Drosophila melanogaster: one gene and its partner. The gene in region 1 interacts genetically with each later gene. Each region holds a gene or a part of one and is shown in the gene's direction. Other genes may lie near its edges.

Evidence for each region. Genes that interact genetically often act in the same process or in processes that back each other up.
Region 2: of Stat92E (region 1) and tor, changing one suppresses a phenotype caused by changing the other (phenotypic suppression), as found in Drosophila melanogaster (2 studies listed by BioGRID).

What each region holds. Positions count from the first base shown.
Region 1 is NT_033777.3:20,544,768-20,555,754, reverse strand, and holds the start of Stat92E (Signal-transducer and activator of transcription protein at 92E), read left to right. Parts: upstream 1-4,647; 5' UTR 4,648-5,034; intron 5,035-10,987. Other genes in the region: att-ORFB (uncharacterized protein), read left to right, coding at 1,465-1,502, 1,556-1,859, 1,920-2,171; DPCoAC (dephosphocoenzyme A carrier), read left to right, coding at 857-1,049, 1,556-1,859, 1,920-2,185, 2,442-2,628, 2,699-2,846. UniProt on the Drosophila melanogaster protein: Might play a role in signal transduction and activation of transcription.
Region 2 is NT_033778.4:7,703,490-7,714,476, reverse strand, and holds tor (torso), read left to right. Parts: upstream 1-5,292; 5' UTR 5,293-5,531; coding exon 5,532-5,684; intron 5,685-5,751; coding exon 5,752-5,982; intron 5,983-6,134; coding exon 6,135-6,372; intron 6,373-6,432; coding exon 6,433-6,515; intron 6,516-6,571; coding exon 6,572-6,740; intron 6,741-6,808; coding exon 6,809-7,114; intron 7,115-7,170; coding exon 7,171-7,506; intron 7,507-7,563; coding exon 7,564-7,735; intron 7,736-7,796; coding exon 7,797-8,295; intron 8,296-8,362; coding exon 8,363-8,457; intron 8,458-8,510; coding exon 8,511-8,633; intron 8,634-8,693; coding exon 8,694-8,831; intron 8,832-8,887; coding exon 8,888-9,061; intron 9,062-9,119; coding exon 9,120-9,174; 3' UTR 9,175-9,294; downstream 9,295-10,987. Other genes in the region: Dgat2 (diacylglycerol O-acyltransferase 2), read right to left, coding at 357-514, 574-773, 831-1,172, 1,239-1,370, 1,429-1,526, 1,587-1,715; CG1941 (uncharacterized protein), read right to left, coding at 2,577-2,734, 2,801-3,000, 3,061-3,402, 3,497-3,628, 3,684-3,781, 3,833-3,961; CG34216 (uncharacterized protein), read left to right, coding at 9,540-10,550. UniProt on the Drosophila melanogaster protein: Probable receptor tyrosine kinase which is required for determination of anterior and posterior terminal structures in the embryo.

The sequences.
Region 1 (10,987 bases):
AGAACCCGAGTAGTTGGCTCGAGAATGACTCGACTTGGGGCCCAAAGCAAAGTTCAATTGCCGGGAGCCAATGGTACTTGGCCAGATAGCTGAATATTGGTCAATATTATGGGTTGGTTGGACGCTAAAAGCCATCCGAGTGCCTATTTTTGAACCTATGCCAAGGGAACGTGCTTCTAACAATTACGAAACAATTGCGAGAGCAATTGAATATTATTTGCATGAACTTGCGAAATGTGTGTTTTCGCTATCAACAGGCGCACATAATATTTTCCTGGGCTCCATAAATACACCTGTCTGTGCAAGAGTAGCACCCAATTTATTTACTCTTCACAATCAATACAATAATAAGAGCAGTACTATTGTTTTTCATTATTGGTCACACATATCAATTATCAGCGAAATCCAAAGCTGTGTTTTTGTCGTTCGTTGGCTGATAAGAAATCCAAACACTTGTCATAAAGTTGCACCTAAACTATTAGCTACTGTGCTTAGAAGAATTCTAGATTAAAATAAAATCATTTACCAATAATTCATGGTACAATAGAAATGCTTTCAGTTTAAACCTAACCTGTTAGTTGGATTTTAGAAGCTTCATTCTCAAAATATTAATATATAAGTTAGTTGTGCTATTATGTTGACCTCAGCTGTACAGCAGCGCCCACTCAGTTTGCTATATGTGTCTCTGCTGGGAAGTCTTATGAAAGCAAAGCAATTTTCGGCTGGTTTAGATTAGTTTTGGCCATATTGAGCTCTTATCAGTGGTGTCGATAAGCCTGCGCTTTTTTGGTGGTCCAATATAGCCGGCTCAGATTGATATGCAAATTGATTTCAGGTCCCCCAGTCCGAGTCTGCGATGAGCCGACTCCTGGAGAAGCCCAACATCGCCATGTCCATCAAGTCCACGGGTAGTCAGCTCTCGAGCACGATGACGACAGCCTCGGCGACGCTGTCCTCGGACCTGGACGATGCGGACACATCCCGCACCCAGCTGAGTCCATCGGAAACATCTGGAGTAGTCCTCGTACCCGCCACTACAGTCACACCCAGTAAGTAAGGCGCAAAAGACAATTCACGAGAGATTTGTTTTCCAGACGCATAGCCAAGGATTTCAAACATTTTGATACTTGAAGGCAGTAAATAAAGCTACAATCTTAATTAACATGTACAAAAATCAAATTCAATGAACTTTCTCGCAATGTGATTTCCAATTCCTAGTAACTACTAAGCATTATAAAATGGACCTATTTAACTATGAGCTTAAATCCAGGACTCATTTTATAGTAGGCACTTCGATTCCACTTGAATGCCAAACATGTCCAAACAAAAATTAGGGAAACGCTAAATTACATTGGCGACACAATGAAAACTCTTGAATTTTTGTGTTTGTCGACAGTAAAATGTCGAGTATTTGACTTCAAACCGAACTAAATTATAGAGCGTAGTGGAGTGTCAAAGTTTCCTATGTCCCTCCGTTTATTTATCCATAGTCGCGCATTCGGGTATGAATGCATATTGAGATTTTCTATTCATTTTCTACCATTTACTATTTCAGTGCGCCAGAAAATCGACCAGGTGGTGATCAGCCTGATATCCGGAGCAGCGGCGGGGGCGCTGGCCAAGACGGTCATCGCCCCGCTGGACCGCACAAAGATCAACTTCCAGATCCGCAACGATGTGCCCTTCTCGTTTCGAGCCTCGCTGCGCTACCTGCAAAACACCTATGCCAACGAGGGCGTTTTGGCCCTGTGGCGGGGGAACTCGGCCACGATGGCCAGAATCGTGCCCTACGCAGCCATACAGTTCACGGCCCACGAGCAGTGGCGTCGCATCCTGCACGTCGACAAGGACGGCACCAAGTGAGTTGTACTATGCTCTAGATTCTCACCAACTTCATGGCGAATCATTCTATTTTGCAGCACGAAAGGTCGTCGGTTTTTGGCTGGCTCCCTGGCGGGAATCACCTCACAGTCGCTGACGTATCCTCTGGACCTGGCACGCGCCCGCATGGCCGTCACGGATCGGTATACTGGCTATCGGACGCTGCGACAAGTCTTCACCAAGATCTGGGTGGAGGAGGGTCCGCGGACGCTGTTCCGCGGCTACTGGGCGACCGTTCTCGGCGTGATTCCCTATGCGGGCACCTCCTTCTTCACCTACGAGACTCTTAAGCGGGAATACTATGGTAGGAATACTACCTATATCCTAATATAAAATTCTATAGACTTAGGGGAGATGTTCATTTAAAAATTCTTGTATATTGTATATGTCCATAGAATTCGGTTTTAAGCCCCAAGTTTATTGTGGAATTATACAGATAATTTCAATTTAAACCGGCATTCTGGGTCATTGTCATTATTTTGATTATGCTAGTAGAAGTTACCTATATTCTAATTAAGTGCTCACTGAATTTGCCAACTAAATGACTTGTTTGCTTGCAGAAGTGGTCGGCAACAATAAACCCAATACTCTAGTCTCGCTGGCCTTCGGTGCTGCGGCTGGTGCCGCCGGGCAAACGGCCAGCTATCCATTGGACATTGTGCGGCGAAGAATGCAGACAATGCGGGTGAACACGGCTGGCGGAGATCGGTACCCAACCATCCTGGAGACTCTCGTCAAGATCTATCGGTGCGTGCAAATCTTTGTCAACGATTTTATTCATATTTTAATTGCGATTTTAATTACGATTTCCAAACAGTGAGGAGGGCGTCAAGAACGGTTTCTACAAGGGACTTAGCATGAACTGGATCAAGGGACCCATCGCCGTGGGCATCAGCTTCTCCACCTACGATCTGATCAAGGCGTGGCTCACGGAGCTGGCCAACTTGAGACGGGTTGAGAAATAGCCCAGCTCCCTGCCCCTGCCACTCGTCACCCATAAACACCACACCAAAAACGCACTGCTTTGATCTTAAGTCTCGCGATCGATGGATGAGCTGAGGAAATAGAAGTGAAGCACCGACATGCTCTAATTGTTAGATATTTTTTAGCTGTTAGTTGTGAGGGAGAGAAGCGATGAAGTGAAGACACCCGAAAGCGCTTAACTTTGTTATTAACCGTAATTGATTTATTATCGCCGTAAGCCGAAAGTATATCAGCCAATAAACTGTCTGAATAATGACTCGCCTGGCACATACTGCTCCCCAGGACCTCGTATTCAATGGTGTTGCTTTGACAATAACACTCCTAGATTAATGATTACGATTTACCCGAACATTTTGTATATTGTGTATTGCCAACTCAATGTCAAGGCGCTGCGACTGTTAAAATAGTCATGAATTTGAGGGTGTTCACACCAGCATATACTATGTAATTCTTGTATGTTAGTGTGTTTTTATTATTAAAATTTACAAAATTGTTTAACTGATCGATTATCTCAATCGTTTTTAAAACGCGCGCCATCGGTTGTGACAGGTGGCACCTCCGGCGATTACGCGATAACATCTTTTGCGGGGGTGCTGTATATCGAAATATGCTGGTAGTCGCGTTCGCAAAAATTCGAGTGCTCGCAAAACGAAAACAACGTAAATTTAGTGCGTTTTAAAAGTGATAATTAAGACTATTTGCCCTGGAATTAGGTGGCCCAACAGCCGTGAGCTGCAGGCGGTGTTGTTTTAAGGATAAAAAGCGTTTTTCCCCCAACACCTGCCATAACCAAAAAGGCAATCTGAAAGGTGAGTGATTTGCTGTGCTGCGCCGATTGTGGAATGGATTAATTATTTAAGGCCTATTGATTAGACGGGGCACAGCCTTAAAAAAACCCCTCTCCGAGCACCAACCCTCTTCATTTAAAGAGGGTCGGGGGTGGCATTCTCATGCTCGCTTGTTGCTGCGCACAACAGGTGAAAATTCAGAAGTCGCGTATGTTTATATGCAGAATACACAAGAGTTGGCAAAAGACCATTAATTGTGCTTCTCTGCGTCTGGGGTAACCTTGACTTTCGGTGGACAAATCAATCAAATGCAATTAATTACACCGCCAGCGGTGCATATGTGTGGGTGGCAGCTCGTGTGTGTACAGACAACATGCGCACTCATATCTGCGGCGCCACAATGATGCGAAAATGGGTGTAAACCCCCTTTGATAAATGTTTGTTTATCGCAATTAGCTTCGCAAATTGTTTATTCTTTAGCAGCCGACAGTGCTGTTAACTTAACAGGGGTGCGAGGGTTGCACTTCGGGTTATCAGAGTTTTCCACCATCAAATTCATTTTACTTCTAAATAATAACTTCAATCAACTTATTTTTCTTTAATTAACTCACAAAGTTTAGTGGAATATTAGCACGATAGAGATATATATTTCGTAACTTGTTTAGTCTTAATGTTTCTTTTAGAACATCTTTACGAAAAATCCTAAATGCTATTTGTTTAATTATGTGCATTCCAAGTCAAAAATTTATAAGTAATAACAATTCAAAAATTTTGTTTTACCATAGTTATCGAGCTTTGGTCCCTGGTTGTTAACAATATTTTACTGCGCTGCTCTATAAAATTAAATCAACTTATTTTCTAATTAGAATTTCCTATCTTCCCGGTTTGGCAGAGATTTATCAGAATCGATACCCACTGTTAACAGCGATTGTTCACATGTGTTCATCGTCCGATAGTATCGCATGTGGATCGCTTTCGCTCCAACTCTAGAGACGCGGCAGTCGTTTTTTAGCCACTATAGGGAATTGTTCGAATGCGGAGCAATTTTCAAATGCGCAACCAGTTGAATTCTTTTGCAAGTGCACTTTGTTTTCAAGGATTCGTTTAACTGATAGGATTTCCTTTGGTCGAGACTCTAGTTTTTTTTTCTAAATTCTCAGTGCGTGTGCGGGTGTGCATGTGCGTTCCGTCTCCCTCGCACTGCGTCGTGTGTGTAATGTTTGTGTGTGCGTGAAGCCAGCGCGATTTAAAAATAAAACGGCAAATACATAATAAAAAATATCGAAGAGCAACAGCGGCAGGCGTACCAATACAAACTAACCGATACCAGCCAGCCGTGTGTGTTTACACAGTGTTGTGCGTTGGTGTTTGTGTACCAAAGGTAAATAGAAATAGGAGAAAAAGAGCAACAAATTTACGAGTGGTGGGGGGTACGTATATAAATGCGTGTGTGGGTGGGAGGACTCCGCTGCAAATGTGCACTGCGCAAATAATGTGGGTGGGCGTGTGGTGGTTCCGCAAGGCCTTCACGAAGGTTCTCTGCCTTTTGGCCACAAATTCGATGCACCATCATCATGTGTTTCCACTTGACGCTTTATTTATACATCAACAAAATACCCACACACATGCACATGTGTTCTTCACGCTCCTGTTTCCCGGTCTTCTTCTTCCCCGTTCATTGTTGTTTCCTGGAAAGCCCATAAAAACAAAGGCAACAAGAATTTCGAGTGCAATAGCACAAATGGCAGCAACAACAACACTGATATCGAGTATATTAGCTGTTCCCCATCTCACCGTCCCACTCGCTCCCTTGCACAGCGAGAAAGCGAGGCTATAAAACTAAAAATTATATATATTTAATGTCCTCTGTTTAAAAAATTAAGCTTTTTTGTATAAATACATAATACAATTTTTTGTATAAGGCATTGGTAAATTAATCCCATGTGTTGGGGCCCGATTCAACACCTGGTATCACAACATTTGGCAACACATATTTAACTGTTACTCTAGCACTATTTTTTCAAGTGTCTGACGTACGGGGCCCTATCATTCTCATATTCACATGCTACTCTTGCTTTCATACGTCGCCGACTTCTGCGCGCTCAACACTTTTATCTTGCTCGCTGTCGTCGGTCGCTTACTGCCCCCTCCTCCGTCGCGGGCTTCCCCTCTCTCCACCATGACTTCTTGGCCTGGCTATAACCCGGCTGGCTTCTACCACTTCGGACAAATTACGATTGTCAGCGACGCCGACGTTAGCTAACCCCTTGGCGTTTCACATTTGATAAACCCGATCGCATTGCTGTGGACACCGTAGATTATCATTGGTCATAGTGGGTCCTCCAATCAATGGCCAGGTGGACGGTCAACTTACATAGGTTAGTTGGCAGAGGGGTTTCTTCGTTTATGTCAACTAATAAAACGCATACATTATATAACTACCATTATTTATTAACAGTGGTTAAAATCATTAATTTTATAGATGAAAGGGAGATACAATATAATATTGTACTTTATTCAGAATTGTATTTACGGTCTGAGAAACTATATTTTACATTTAAAGTTCACCCTGAATTGAAATAAAGTAGTAATGTGGCTTTTATATATTGAAAATATATTGTATATAGATTCGAATGAACAGATATACTCTAAATGCCACGATACTTAAAACTATAGGGTGCTCAAAGTTCGTTTCCCCAATTAGTTCTTCTATATCGTGTTGGAACTCACTCCCGTCAGATTTGAACATATGTATTTATGCAGCAAAGTTTATCGCCACCAATCCAGTCCACCACATGTGTTTAAAGTTATTTCTGGATCTTCGATATAGGCAGTGCTAATTATTGCGCTATTATGCGAATCACTATCCTCAAGCGCAAATCAAGCCGGCTTCTTATCGGCGACTCTCGTTATTTACTTTGTTACATTGACACCTCGTTATCAAAGTCGTTTATTGCGTTGCATTTCATTGTCGTAAATGGAGCACTCTGCTGCGCCTTCAATAGATTGGGGGCCTACTGTACTTACACATATTGTGCCTGCTTATCGCTGGCAAAATGCTTTTCTGGTGGTAGTAGATGGCCCCCGAACTAGCGAATCAAAACTTCAATCTATAGTTTCTGAGGAAGTTACTTTGAGGAACTTACTACAACGTATTTTACAAATATTTTTGTCAATATGCCCAATTATCAAGTTTGAAACCCGAAAATCTGTCTAGCTCGTAATCAAAGCTGTACTTATTATTAAAAAATTAAAGATCATATTTATTTATTACTTGAAAAACCCAAATCATTGGTTATGGAAATATTGACCCTAATGCTAATTAGTTTTTGAAAAACAAATAAGTAATATAGAGCAGTAAAAAATGGATTCAATAGAGGATTAATACATTTCTGCGAATCTTTTGTTGCACTCCGCTGATAAGGAGTCCCATTTATTGGAATTTTGCTAAGACTTTACAGTTAAGCAATAAAAGACAATGTTTGGTAGCTGTATTGTTTGATAACCTGACTGACTTCAGTCGAATAATCACTTTTCGAACCATTGAGCACCAACACAAGACTGATAACTGAGTGATACCCAACCATGATTGTATTTGTATTGCAGATGACAGTTTGGACAAATATTCCTTAATTACTTTATTTTTTGACAAATAGACTTGAGCACATATTTTATGAGCTTAAGATCGGTGGGATTTATGAACAGATAAGTGAGGTCATCGGGGCAAGTGTGACAACAAACATTGATCTGTTCGCGGAACGAGCATTATGTGGTGATAAGAAACCGTGTGCCGACACATTACTTAGCTCAATATAACCCAATCGATCCGGTGTTTCTCGTTAGACGAAACAAAAGCCGACAAACATCGTGCAAAATGTCAGGCGAGCAGCAACGATAAATGATTACTTAAATAATACTTGGTGTGGCAAAGTGGTGGTGGTGGGGGGGCTCACTTTGGGCTCGGTTGGGGGTGGTGCAACGGCGAGGTTTCCATTGTCGATGTACGGCGTACACCCACACAACCACGAGGAAAAGAACACTGAGGCATGCTTATTAAACTTTTATGAGTACAAAAACAAATACCACAAACGACTCTCGTTTCTCACAGGGCAATCGTAAGTGTGTGCGTTGTTTATAAAAAATTGAACAAGAAAAATATAAAATGAACGCGGCTGGCTGGCACAAATGTCGAAGCAGCAGAAAGCAAAAAGCAAAAAGCGAAAAGAACAGCCAGGAACAACAAAGGCAGCACACCCGCGCTTGGGTGTTTGCAATCGTCGGTTTTCGAAGTGGTCAGAAATGCTTGGACGCCATACTAAGGGCCGAGGAAATTGTAGTGACCCCAACCAAAGCTCTACGGGCATAACAATCCCAACTTTGATGTCATGCCCATACAAATTTTCCCCCCACAGAGTGCATGACTAATATTCAAATTGGTGTGTCCAACTCAAAGAACGCGAATTTTTATAAAGTTATATGCCAACACTTTTATGGTTTATTTAAATAAATTGTATTATTGCTAACATATGTATGAACGTCGAGATCGCTAGAACTTTAAAAGCTAAAAGGTTTTGCTATTGGACATACAAATTCTACGCCCACAATATTTTGTATTTTATTATTAACTATTTTTATTGATATTTCAAATGAATTTTGAATTCCCATTTTATTTTATTGTGCAGAACGTATGCTCCATACAAAAAGTTTGATTCCGCGCAACGAGGTATCACTGTCCCAACTTACCTTTTATGATACGTAGTTCCAACCAGTCTTATCAGTGCCGGGCTGCTGCCATAAAACTTTCCACTTGCCGCACTTGGATTCCTTGGAGCTTTTCAATTCGCATGAAAATGGGAATCTTTTCTATCTGCGGCTATATCTTATTTATACGCCCACTTTGCAGATAACACGTTTTCCAGAATTTTCGCTGTGGCAATAGGCCAGATATTGTGTGTGCATACTGCTTACGGGGATTATTCTCCATCTGAATCTGCAGATTGTTTATCCCAAAAAATTTCGCATCGCACATATAGAAAGATAAACAAAGTGGCTCGGTGTGTGGAGTAACGATTGCCTGGTGCTCGAAGACGATGAGTCATCATCCAACCAAATGCTTATCTAAAATGCGCCCATTCGGCATTTTTTCTAGCTCGGCATATTAATCACACGACTAAAAGTGCAACTGGGCTGTTTCCTCTTTCTTCCTCCCCCCTCCCCTGTCTATCATGCCATTTCTCATCGTATTTCTGTGCTGTTTGTGATTCGCTTTTTGTTTGCCCGGACGGCAGCGAAAAGTCAACTTTTGAGTGGGCAGCTGGCCGGCGAGAGCTTGTTGAGAATCTGTATCTCGTGCGCACAGATACAAAAGTATCTACACATGTCCGTACAAATAGGCAAACACAATCCGTTGGTCAAGAATGTATGTATGCCATAACAATTGGCACTCAATTGTAAATGCATATTACTATGAACTGTGGGTTTTCCCCCGGCGAACGCTGAACTGACTTATATTTTTCTTAGATCCGCTGCTTTACATGCACACAGCCCACAACAAACAACGGATGCAAAAAGCAGCCCAACCAGTTCGCTTTTCACTGCAATTGGCAAACCACTTTCATTGTATGCACTGGTTTTTCATTGTTGAAAACTCAAGGCTCAAGGTCGCAGGAGGCACTAGTTTTTTCTGTGCGCATACTGCTTAACTGTGAAGCTAGGTAGATTATAAAAAATTAATTTAGTTCTCAGAATTTTGGAATTTCCCATTGGTACATGCTAGGATGGATAGAAACTGTCAAACTTCCGGGTGCTAAGAAAGCGTTTTTTTTTGTTTAGATATGTATATATTATACTATATATGCATTGGATATACGGCGATTCTTCGAATGCTCTTCTTCGATAGACGTCAATGCAAATTCAAGTTTTGCAACTGAAAACATTTTTGCTGTCGAGAGATCGAAATGAATTTATATACATACATTTAAAAAATGGAAAGAGCTTCGTTCGTTACACATTTGTTGTGCTTGTGGTCGAAATATACTCGTGTTTGCGCGCTTGAGGCGCTTTTGAGGTCTGTGGAGGTCTGTTGTATACACGTTTTTAACCCCCTAAAGCCGGCCAGCCGCGGTCATTTCTCATTCACCTCTCCATTTGGCGCAGAAGCCCCTGTGGACATGTGTGAACATTTACAACCGCGTATAAATAACGCCGACTAACATATTTGCCTGCAACCAACTAAGTATACTTCGCATTTTACCTCCATCTCCCTCTACCGACTAAACAAACTCACATTCTATATGTGGTCTATATGGCGCTATAAATCGCTAAAGTTGGTGGGGTCGTGCGGGGGAGATGGGTTCAGTGGGTAACTACCGGTTATCGCGGCTTTTGCGGTAAACTTAATGCCGGCCGATGTTTTAGCTACAAAGCAAGGCGAAAAACACGCATCATAATAATAAACGATGATTTTTCTTTAAAAATTCATTATATTTCGCTATTCGAAATTACACGTTTCCTTTTGTGCACATCTACTTTCCAAGTTGTTCCGAGAATTGTAGCCAAAAGCATGCTACTAAGGGTTATACAAATCAGAAAAAAAAAACCATCACACACTTTCACACAATTAAAATATAAACATTTTTGATTTGATAAAGTTTTCATGCGCTTGAAATTGTGCAAGAAGCGCATAATTCTTATTTAATTTAAAACCAACGTTTGAGGCGCTTATCGCAGGAAGTTCGATAATGCAAACATAAGTAGTGAGTATTAATAATGGCATGATAAATATAATAATGTTATTATATATATTATTTCTTAGCATTATGCACAAGGTCGCGTTTCATAAATTTTCTACAACTTGTAGTTCAATTCTTGAATGAGCTATTTAATTAAAATATTTTTTTTCGTACTGTGCTTTTTCGCTGACGTCACGTGCTGGAGATATTTTTCGCTTTCAGCGCAGTCAATAGCGAAACTTAAAAATGCCGCAAAACTTTTTTATCGCGTCTGGGTTTTTGCTTGGTTTGTTTAGCCTTTGTTTTTGTTTTCATTCAGCGTTTGCTGCTCGTGCGGCGGCTAGCGGAAAGAAAACTGGATTTCTTGGGAGCATCATCAGTACAGAATCAAAACACATTCAAAACCAAAAAAGGATTTGACTCGATATCAATAAGTTGTTAGTTACTAAGTTGTATAAAAATGCACTTCTGACTTGAAATGCTCTTAGTTTGGCTTAGATTGGACGCCTATATACTTTAGGTTGTCATGTCGATTTGGTCCCAAAAGACAGCACATGGCCAAAAACTATAGCGATATAGAGCCCCCCGAGAGAGGCGGTGGCC
Region 2 (10,987 bases), on another chromosome or scaffold:
ACCTAATGCTGAGGTCACACGTTTTGGCGGTGCTTCGCAACAGTCAGAACACTCATTCCATTGTGCGTACGCCAATAGTGTGTTCTGCGATAAGGAATCTAGTCGATTTTGTCGTAGTTTTACTAGAGATCTGTGTCGCCCTTATCAGCCGATTGTTTCATTCACAAAAGTGCTGATTCACGCAGACTTTGTTACATTGAACTGAAATTATAGTGTAAGTACTATGAGTATGCACATTTCTTTATTTGCAATGCAATGTGTAATCAACTTGTAATGAGACAACCAGTTTAAATTCAATTAAAAAGCTCGTTTCTATTTCAATACATAGGAATATTTTGTATCAACATGATTTAAAACTAGTGTACAACTAGAGTGGCACTCTTCGAATTCTCCAAGTACTTGTCTTTGTACTGATCGAATAACTTCTCCAGCGACTCAATGACCTGTCCATGCACTTTATCCACATACTCCGAGTCTGGGTGCTCGTTCTTAACAACATCGATGGGAGCACCAACTGGGAATTAAAATATTATTACCACTTATTTGCGTAAAGTATATAAAAATATAACTTACCAACTTGGACAATGCGTCGTCGGAATGGGAGGAAGCCAAAGGTGTAGTTGAAGAATCCGCGGCCCACAGGAATCAGCGGAGAGACTCCGGTGAGCTTCTTGACAAAGTCCTGAAACCGTCGGAGCAGCGAGTTGGGGGGATTTGCCACCTGATCGAAAATGTCCACCTCTCCAAAGGAAAATGAAGGAACAATCGATGAGCTGAAATCAGGATATATGTAAATGGGAATTTAAATTACACTCGAACCCATTACTTACCCCGTTCTAATGGCCATTCGCACGAAGCCTTTCCTATTCTTCAAGGTTAAAATGTACTGCCCAGGATGAGAGTCCATGGCTTCCTGGGCACCGCCAACCAGAATGGCCACCGCATTGGAGGTGAAACCATCCCGATTATCCTTGTGCTTGGGATCATTTGACTTGCTGAGCATACGGATCAGCGCCTCTTTGGACACTGACACCAGACCCCAGCAGCGGAGGACCTCACGCATGAACGGAACATGGAAATGCTGATCCAGAGTGCCCAGTTTGGGACGCACTTGGGGGAATAGCTCCAGCCACTTGGAGATTTCCAAGCCCATGTTAATGCCAATGCCTGTGCTACAATAAAAATCAGTGTCTATTTATATTCGAACGATTAGATTGGCTATCTGTCAAGGTGCTTACCCCAGAATTCCGTGGGGAAAGCTGGCCAAGATGTAGTTCTTAGTAGCTGGCAGTTCGGCTGTTTTCACCAGCTCCACGGGAAAGTAATCACGATAGTGGCGATGCAAAAGGTTGGTGCGTGTTATCATCCAGCTGAGCGATATACACAGCGATATAATCTTACAGAGACTTTCGTTAGTATTCGACTTACCCATTGCCATCCACAACGGATTGGGTTTTCTTGTGGTGCACAAAGACGTAGGCCAAGTAAGTTACCATCAGACTACGCACCAAAAGACCTCCGTAGATCTGAAGGGAAACTCATGTTCTGTAATACTTATGCATATGACTAAATGGTTAGTGTCTTACCAGTGATCCAGCTACCAAAAGGAAGGAAACTGACAATAGTATCAGCAGCATGGAGGTGAAAAAGGCCGTGACCAGTATCTGCAGTCGGCGTTCCAGAGGAACCCGCAGTGGTGCCCACTCGATTTTCATGTCTGCTGTGTTACAAAAATGCCCAAAAAAACTCCACCAGCTGCTCTTTCGGCGGTTCTCCCACGACTGAATGATATGGAAGCCAGCGATGGTCAAATTGCCCTGTACTAGACTTATACTTATCCTTATCGGCTCTCGGCTTCATGCAGGGCGCCCGCATTACCTGCTAATCACAAGCCAACTAACCAGTCAGTAGCACTTTGTGTGGGGCTGATGGGAATTCGCGATTGGAGTGATGAAGATTATAAACTCGGCATGCAATCGCCGTCTGGGTGCAAAGGTATGCGGCGATTCCTAGGAGATTACCCACTTTCAAGAGCACTATGATTCAATAAGCATTTTATGCTGTGGGTCGTATTTCTTAAGATTTATAAGTCAGTTAAGTGATAAGCTGTATTACTTTTATACTACATACAACGAAATTACAAAAACATACAACGGATTAAGTTGTATGCTTGTATGATGAAATAATTGTTTTTTAATTGAAGGCTGTAGTTTAAAAATCAATAAAGCTGGTTGAACAGGGATTATTAGAAATAAATGATAATGCTGTTATTACTACATTTGGTATATTCTGCGCTCATTGTTATGTTTTTTCCCTATATATCAATTAATAAATCATAGTTATTCATTTTAAATTGAACGCCAACTTCTACTGATCGTTGATCAACACTGTTTGCCGTCTTATCGATAAATAATTGCTATCAATAGCGATAGCTGCTTATTCAAAGTTTCGATCACTACCCGTCGTTTTAAAAAGCTTGTATGGCAATTTTATTTGCCTGATAAAATTCGTAATTTTTATATTAAATGCTTATAAAGCACTCATTTGATCACATTGTTTAGACAATAACTTCTCGACTAGTGTATAATCAGCTTGTCCTGCTTGGAGTTCGGTATGTACTGATCCTTGTACTTGGCGAACATCTTCTCCAGGTCGTCAATAACCTGTTTGTGTATCTTATCCACATAGGCTGCGTCTGGTTGATCGCTCTGAACCACGTCGATGGGAGCGCCAACTGAAATTTTTTAAAGTTTATTTGAATCTTACAACTATGCGACATTTGAATGAGCTGAGGACTCACCAACTTGGACAATGCGTCGACGGTTGGGCAGAAAGCCAAAGGAGTAGTTGAAGATGCCCCGGCCAACGGGAATCAGCGGAGATATCCCCGTTATCCTCTTTACAAAGTCTTGAAAGCGACGAACCCGAGAGTTCGGTGGATTGGCAACCTGATCCAGAATGTCCACCTCGCCAAAGGAAAACGTGGGAACAATCGAAGACCTAAAATGAAGACCGGATACAATTAAAAATAACTTTTAGTTGTATCCGATTTCAACCTACCCTGTCCTAATGGCCATTTTAACGAATCCCTTGCGGTTCTTCAGTGTCAATATATATTTGCCAGGGTGCGAGTCTAGTGCCTCCTGGGCACCACCCACCAGAATAGCCACCGCGTTGGAGGTGAACCCATCACGATTGTCCTTGTGCTTGGGATCGTTTGATTTGGTTAGCAGATATACTAAGGCCTCCTTGGAAACCGACACCAGGCCCCAAGATCTCAGGAGACCACGCACGATGGGCGTCAGGAAGTTTTGATCCAAAGTGGCCACCTTGGGCCTCACCTGTGGGAACAGTTGCAGCCACTTGGAGATGTCTAGACCCATATTAATGGAAATGCCAGTCCTATCAGGGTTACAATATGTGCGTAAGAAGGTATACAAATGTTTCGTCACCTAAGCAACCATCGATAAGATTGACTATCAGTCAACAAGCTTACCCCAAAATTCCGTGCGGAAAACTGGCCAAAATGTAGTTCTTATTCGGCGGCAGCTCTGCGGTCTTGACCAGCTGTACGGGAAAGTAGTCCCGATAATGCCGAAACAGCCAATTGTTGCGGTTAATTTTCCAGCTAAAATGGATTATTTTAGCTTTAAGTGTTCTTATAGGGACTTCATGACGCCTACCCATTGCCATCCATAATGGAGTGGGTTCTCTTGTGATTCGCGTAGACGTAGACCAAATAGATGACCATAATGGTGCGCCACAAAAGGCTTCCATAGAACTGGAAGGGAATGCTTTACTTTTCAAAATATTGAAGCACTGATGTATTTACCAGCACGGCAGCAACGAAGAAATAGGATCCAAAGGAGAGTATCATAAAGGATAGGATTAGGAAGGCCATGGCAAACGTCTGGCGACGCCGTTCCATGGGAACTCCTTTGGGAGCCCACTCGATTTTCATGATGTCAGAGCTCTCGAACTCGGAAAGTTGAACTACTTGGTAGCACGGTCCTCCGGCGACTGAAAAATGGAAATGTTCAATGTTTAGTTACCATTTCTTATCCTTATCAGTATCCGTCGGTGGCGCGAGTGCGTGGCTATTGGTTAGAGTTGTTAAAAAAATACCTTCGATTTAATGGCTATTCGCTTGGGGTGTTTAAAAATTCGAGCAATCAAGATAATGACTTGCTCTATATGGACGTCTGGCTAGAATGCCGATATGATATTATATGATATGATCTTATCATTGCCAACAACAGCCGGCTTTAACGTTTGTCCGATACTTGTGATCACATATATATAATTATTGTTTTGAAATTTCAATTGCAACTGGTTTGAATGCCTTTAGAAAGAGAACGAAACTGCTGTTGCACGACAACCTCCTCACTTTAATTGAATGGTGATAAAACTAACTGGGAGTTACTCGTATTGCTTTTGATCCGATCCGCTTTGGCCTAGTATCACAGGCTAATTATTTTAAACTTGTAGAGCTTTAATAAACTAGACGCTCCCATAGAAATTTATTATTAATGTTTACACACGTAATGGATCGTTATCGCGTTTGAGCAGCAGAACCGACGATGCGAGCGTACAACATTTAACTAAACTTGCGAGTGGCACTGAATGCTCGAGTTTCCCATGTGAGTGTTTCGAGTACTCGAATGCGATGCAACAATTGAGTCACCAATGTAATCGAGCGTTCTATACGAATAACCTGAATCAGAGGCAACTGAGGTCATGTGCATTTGCAAGTCGCTATAAGGAAATACCTGTATTGTCAGCTCTGTTCCAATTGAAATGGAATCAGGGAAAGTGTGATCACGCAAAAGCTACAATGTGGGCGAAATTAGCATAGTTGTTTTTTGGTTAATTTCGAATATTGGCGCCCAACATGGTTTCTAGGGATGGAAGCGACCAGCACTGCATTCTGATTTATCGGTTTGCTGCAATACAAGCTCTTTTGGCGCAACAGATCATAGAAGATTGAAATACAAACGTTGTTGGTGGTATCACAAATGAAAATTGCGAAGAGTTATCTGAAGTCAATGTTCTATGCTTATCCCAAGCCCTGGCGCTACTATGACGGAGTAGCGATCCAAATTTTTGCATTTCAAATGACCCCTAGTCCAATCCCATCCATACGATCAAGTACAATACGATGCAGTGAAGAGGTGAAAAACAAATCAAAACAAAATAGCGCAAAATATATTCAACGAGTCCGCCGCTTCTCATCATTCCTCCTTCTTCGTCGCTTTTTTACCATCGCATTTTTGGCCTCAGTTTCTCAGTTCTTTCTCAGTTCAGCAAGATAATCCGAGAAGGACGGATGGTATTGATCTCGAAAGTTGGAATCTAGAAACTAAGTATTCGAATTTGCTGTGTGTGTTATTGAGTTTTGTATCAAAGTGCGTGGTGGCAAAAGTGCAATAAACTTTAAGTCGGTTTTAAACAAATACACATTTCATTCCAACACACACACACCGACACACAACGAAGAACTAAAGAAGGGTTTCAAAAGCAGAACAAGGAAAATGCTTATTTTCTACGCGAAGTACGCATTTATCTTCTGGTTTTTCGTGGGAAGCAATCAAGGTGAAATGTTGCTAATGGACAAAATCTCTCACGATAAGACGCTTCTCAACGTCACCGCTTGCACCCAGAATTGTCTGGAAAAGGGCCAGATGGTATGTTTACACCCTTAGAATGTTGGAACACTCCATAACCAAAAGTGCATGCTTCTTTTCTCGACAGGATTTCCGAAGCTGTTTAAAGGACTGCAGGATTAATGGAACATTTCCCGGGGCTCTGCGCAAGGTGCAGGAAAACTACCAGATGAACATGATCTGCCGCACGGAGTCGGAAATCGTTTTCCAAATAGATTGGGTGCAGCACAGCAGGGGAACCGAGCCGGCTCCAAATGCCACCTACATAATCCGGGTGGATGCTGTCAAGGACGACAACAAAGAAACTGCGCTTTACCTGGTCAGATATTAGATGTAAACTCATTACTATTTACTTTAAAATACCATTTTATTTGATGAATTTCTAGAAAAAGATGTACTATGTAGTCATCAAGACCTAATGTTTCGTTTTACAAGTGGATCGCTCTTTTTCATCGACTTATTCGCTTGCAGTCTGATGACAACTTTCTCATCCTGCCGGGATTGGAGTCCAACTCTACCCACAACATCACCGCCCTGGCGATGCACGGAGATGGCAGCTACTCCTTGATAGCAAAGGACCAGACCTTCGCCACCCTCATCCGAGGCTATCAGCCCAGCAAAATGGGAGCGGTGAATCTGCTGCGGTTTGTCCCCCAACCAGACGACCTGCATCACATTGCTGCCGAAATCGAGTGGAAGCCATCGGCGGGTAAGTAGCTCCATCAGTTTAATCAATCAACGATCTACGAACCCTACTTTCATATTCCAGAGAGCAACTGCTATTTCGACATGGTGTCGTATTCAACCAACAGCGTGAATATGGACGAGCCACTGGAGGTGCAGTTCCGGGATGTGAGTATGCCATGACGCCCCTGCAATGCTAGAGCATAGCTAATCTTTTACTGCAGCGCAAAAAGCTGTACAGGCACACGGTGGACAACTTGGAGTTTGACAAACAGTATCACGTTGGCGTAAGAACGGTGAACATAATGAATCGACTGGAGAGCGATCTGCAGTGGCTGCCAATCGCTGTTCCAAGCTGCTTGGATTGGTATCCCTATAACTACACACTCTGCCGTAGGTTCCTCGAAAGTCCTATATAATAATAATATTAATAATAATAATATTGTTCCACCCTTTCATAGCACCCCATAAGCCAGAGAATCTTACTGTGACCCAGAAGCAGTATCTGCCAAATATTTTGGCCCTGAACATCACCTGGGCGCGTCCCAGATACCTGCCGGATAACTATACACTTCACATCTTTGATCTATTCAAAGGAGGTACGGAGCTAAACTATACACTTGACCAAAACAGGAGCCACTTCTATGTACCCAAGATCACGGTACTGGGTTCCCATTTCGAAGTACATTTGGTGGCCCAGTCGGCAGGCGGAAAAAACGTATCCGGTTTGACGTTGGACAAGGTTCATCGAGGTGTGTTGCTGAGCGGTACGTACGCTGAAGGAAATTAAATATTTAGACATCCATTTCCATCCATTGAACAGAGGGCAACATGGTCAAGTTGGTACTCTTTATTATCGTGCCCATATGCTGCATTTTGATGCTGTGCTCCCTGACGTTCTGCAGACGAAATCGTTCGGAGGTTCAGGCGCTGCAAATGGACGCTAAGGACGCGAAGGCCAGTGAATTTCATCTCTCCCTGATGGACAGCAGTGGCCTGCTGGTCACCCTCTCGGCCAACGAGAGTCTGGAAGTAATGGACGAGCTGGAGGTGGAGCCACACTCGGTGCTCCTTCAGGATGTCCTCGGCGAAGGAGCCTTTGGCTTGGTGCGACGTGGAGTTTACAAGAAACGCCAAGTGGCCGTCAAGTTGCTGAAAGGTTGTACCATTTGGTATTGAAGTTCTTGAATAATTCATGGAATTTTTGTTCTCACAGATGAACCAAACGACGAGGACGTATATGCGTTCAAGTGCGAAATTCAGATGCTCAAGGCCGTGGGCAAGCATCCAAATATTGTGGGTATCGTGGGATACTCCACTCGTTTTAGCAACCAGATGATGTTGCTAATTGAATACTGCAGCCTTGGAAGCCTGCAGAACTTTTTACGGTAAGTTATTTTTATACATATTGGAAAACAAGTGATGTATAGTAAAAAATGTATTACTTAGTGAGGAGTGGAAGTTCAGGCAGGAGCAAAATGCAATTGGACTTAAGAAGAACCTTGAACAGAACGTGGACAACCGACGGTTTAACCGACTCCCTAGAAATTCCATCCATGATCGCATAGAGGATATCAACAACTCGATGCTGTCCACTGTGGAAGAGGAGAGTGAATCGGATCAGACACACTCAAGTCGATGTGAGACCTACACCCTCACTCGAATAACCAATGCAGCCGACAACAAGGGCTATGGCCTGGAGGACATTGAAAACATCGGTGGGAGTTACATTCCCAAAACCGCTGAAGCTCCAAAGGATCGGCCAAAACGGAAGCTGAAGCCGCAGCCCAAGAAAGACTCGAAGCAGGATTTCAAATCGGACAACAAGAAGCGAATCTTTGAGAACAAGGAATACTTTGATTGCCTCGACTCATCGGATACCAAGCCCCGAATACCACTGAAATATGCAGATTTGCTAGACATCGCCCAACAGGTGGCGGTGGGAATGGTAGCCTACATCTACTCTATCCCTAAATGTAATTAAAAAGTGTAGCATGTATCATTTGCCATTTTAGGAATTTCTGGCCCAAAACAAAGTAGTGCATAGGGATCTGGCTGCCCGGAATGTTCTAATCTCCGTAGATCGCAGCATCAAGATAGCAGATTTTGGGTGGGTATCTCTGAAAGTTCAATGATTAGTTATATTGTGTTTTTTTTTTTAAGGCTGAGTCGAGATGTGTATCATGAGAACGTGTACCGAAAGTCCGGAGGAAGTGGCAAGCTGCCCATCAAGTGGCTCGCGCTGGAGTCCCTCACCCACCAGGTGTACACCAGTCAGAGCGATGTGTAAGTATATATTTTTGTTAAGTCCGAAGCGATTTTGTGGCTGATATCTTACCCTCTTAGTTGGTCCTTTGGTGTGCTGCTCTATGAGATCACCACTCTCGGTGGAATGCCATATCCGTCGGTGTCTCCCAGTGATCTCTTGCAGCTACTGCGACAAGGTCATCGGATGAAGCGACCGGAGGGATGTACGCAAGAAATGTGGGTATCAGTGCTTAGCGAAGTACATAATTGTTGATCACATTTGCTTAACTCAGGTTTTCCCTGATGGAAAGCTGCTGGAGCTCCGTGCCATCACACAGGCCAACATTTTCCGCCCTTAAACACAGACTTGGTGGCATGATTTTGGCCACTAACGATGTTCCAGAAAGGCTGAAACAACTGCAAGCTGCAACCGAGTCAAAATTAAAGTCATGTGACGGTCTAAACAGGTAAGTAATCTTTAAAAAGACAATTGTATACGTTACTTTCTTACCTTTTACAATTTAGTAAAGTGGAGCAAGTGCCATGCGAGGAAGAGCTATACCTAGAACCTTTGAATTAATAGTCATTGCTTCAAGATTATAATGAACGAGTGCAATACATTCTAAATTCGAGTTCCAATTCAGACAATGCTATGCGCCAGATAACCTTGCATAGCAATAAACATTAAAGCTAGCCTAAGAAAAATTTAATTTCTTTTTTATAAGAAAAACCAAGATATTTATAGAGTAAACTTCTAGCAGTGCCCTTTATGTCTCATAGAAACCGACCATTTCAAAATGTTTGTGCCTCCTTGCGGCTTAGGTTTCGAAAGAAGGTCGTTTATTTGGACCCCAATCAGCATCATTTTTGAAAATTCCAAATTGAAAGTCGGTCCAAGCTGGCTTGTTTACAGTGTTTCAATTCTACTTCTGGCCACCTCGATCGATGTGCATCCACTGCTGTCGCCTCCGCCGGACACCATGTCCACCGATTCCCTACAGCTGTCCACACTGCCCGGTGCGCACCATCTCCAGCTGCTGTCCACTGGGCAGTCGGCCCCTCGCCGAGAATCCTTTCATAAGAGGTCCGGATCGGGAGCCAACCCCCGATCCCTGCGACACCTTGCCACCGCGCTGGCTGGACCTCAATCGACGGGTCATATTTGCCTTGGCAAAAAGATTATGTCGATCTCCAGAGGCAGCTCATTATATTTTGCTTCGCCTGTTGTATGCCAACTATAGAAAAGTGATGATGATATCCAGAAAACGAAGGAGATACAAGGTGCCACTAAGTGGGTTTCCCGATCAGGATTTGTTCTCCGCCAGCGCACATTTCGATAGCAATGGTTACCTCTCCGATCCCATGGCTCCCGAAACTCTGGGAAAGCTACTCCACATGATGCAGGACTACATCCTTCGGCTGAGAGCGCTGAATCGCAAGTACAAGTGGTGTGGCAACGGCGAGGACTTTGGAGATGTATTGCTCCTATTGGGAGAGCAAGACGAACTGGTACGATTGTTAAGAGATCTCTTTGGAGACAGCGATGTTGTGTCCATTCCAAAGCTCCTGAGCGCCCTTAGCGAGCTGGAAATCAATAATTTATACGGAAAGTACAAGAAGAAAACAGTTCCCTTTATGGTGAGAAGTATATCTGATCTCTACTCCGAAGTGACGGAACCAAAGAGTCCAGTTTTGATATCATTAGCGCACATAGCCAACAAAGGAGTTTCCCCTTATGGACCGAGCCACTTGAAAAACATCTTGAATTTCAGTCCAAAGTCCTTGCCTATGATGGGTAAACACCCACCGCCTAAAAGAAGTAAAAGTGAAAAATGCATTCCAACATCAAAAACGAATTTAACCCAAGCAGTACAAAATACCCAAAAAAAATCGAATTTCAAGGAACCAGCAGACAGTACTGGGATTTTAAGTCCAACTTCCAAGAACTTACAATAAGATATCACAGCAAAGCCACTTCAACCAAACCAAAGGAACCTTCTATGAACCCTTTGACGCCCAGAAGAACTCCATCTGGAGTTCCTCCACCACGCAGACTCACATCGATTAATGACGAATGGTCGGATTGCGGGTCTATTACTATAAAAATCTGGATGACCAACTGAGGTGATCTACGCAATCCTATCATGGCAGTACCCAGCATTATGATCTTAACAGCAGTACACAGGAAATCTTTAGGCAACTCAACGCAGTCAAGCAATGAATATGGCAGCTTAACCAAGATGTTTTTATTGGAGCAGTTGTCCGATCCGTTGGTTGAGCTGGAAAAACGGGTGGACTTATTCCTATCGTATCTTCTATGAATGACGAAACAAACCTATGATTCAACTTAAACGAAATAAAGAAACGAAAAAAAAGCACGTCAGCTTGTTTAA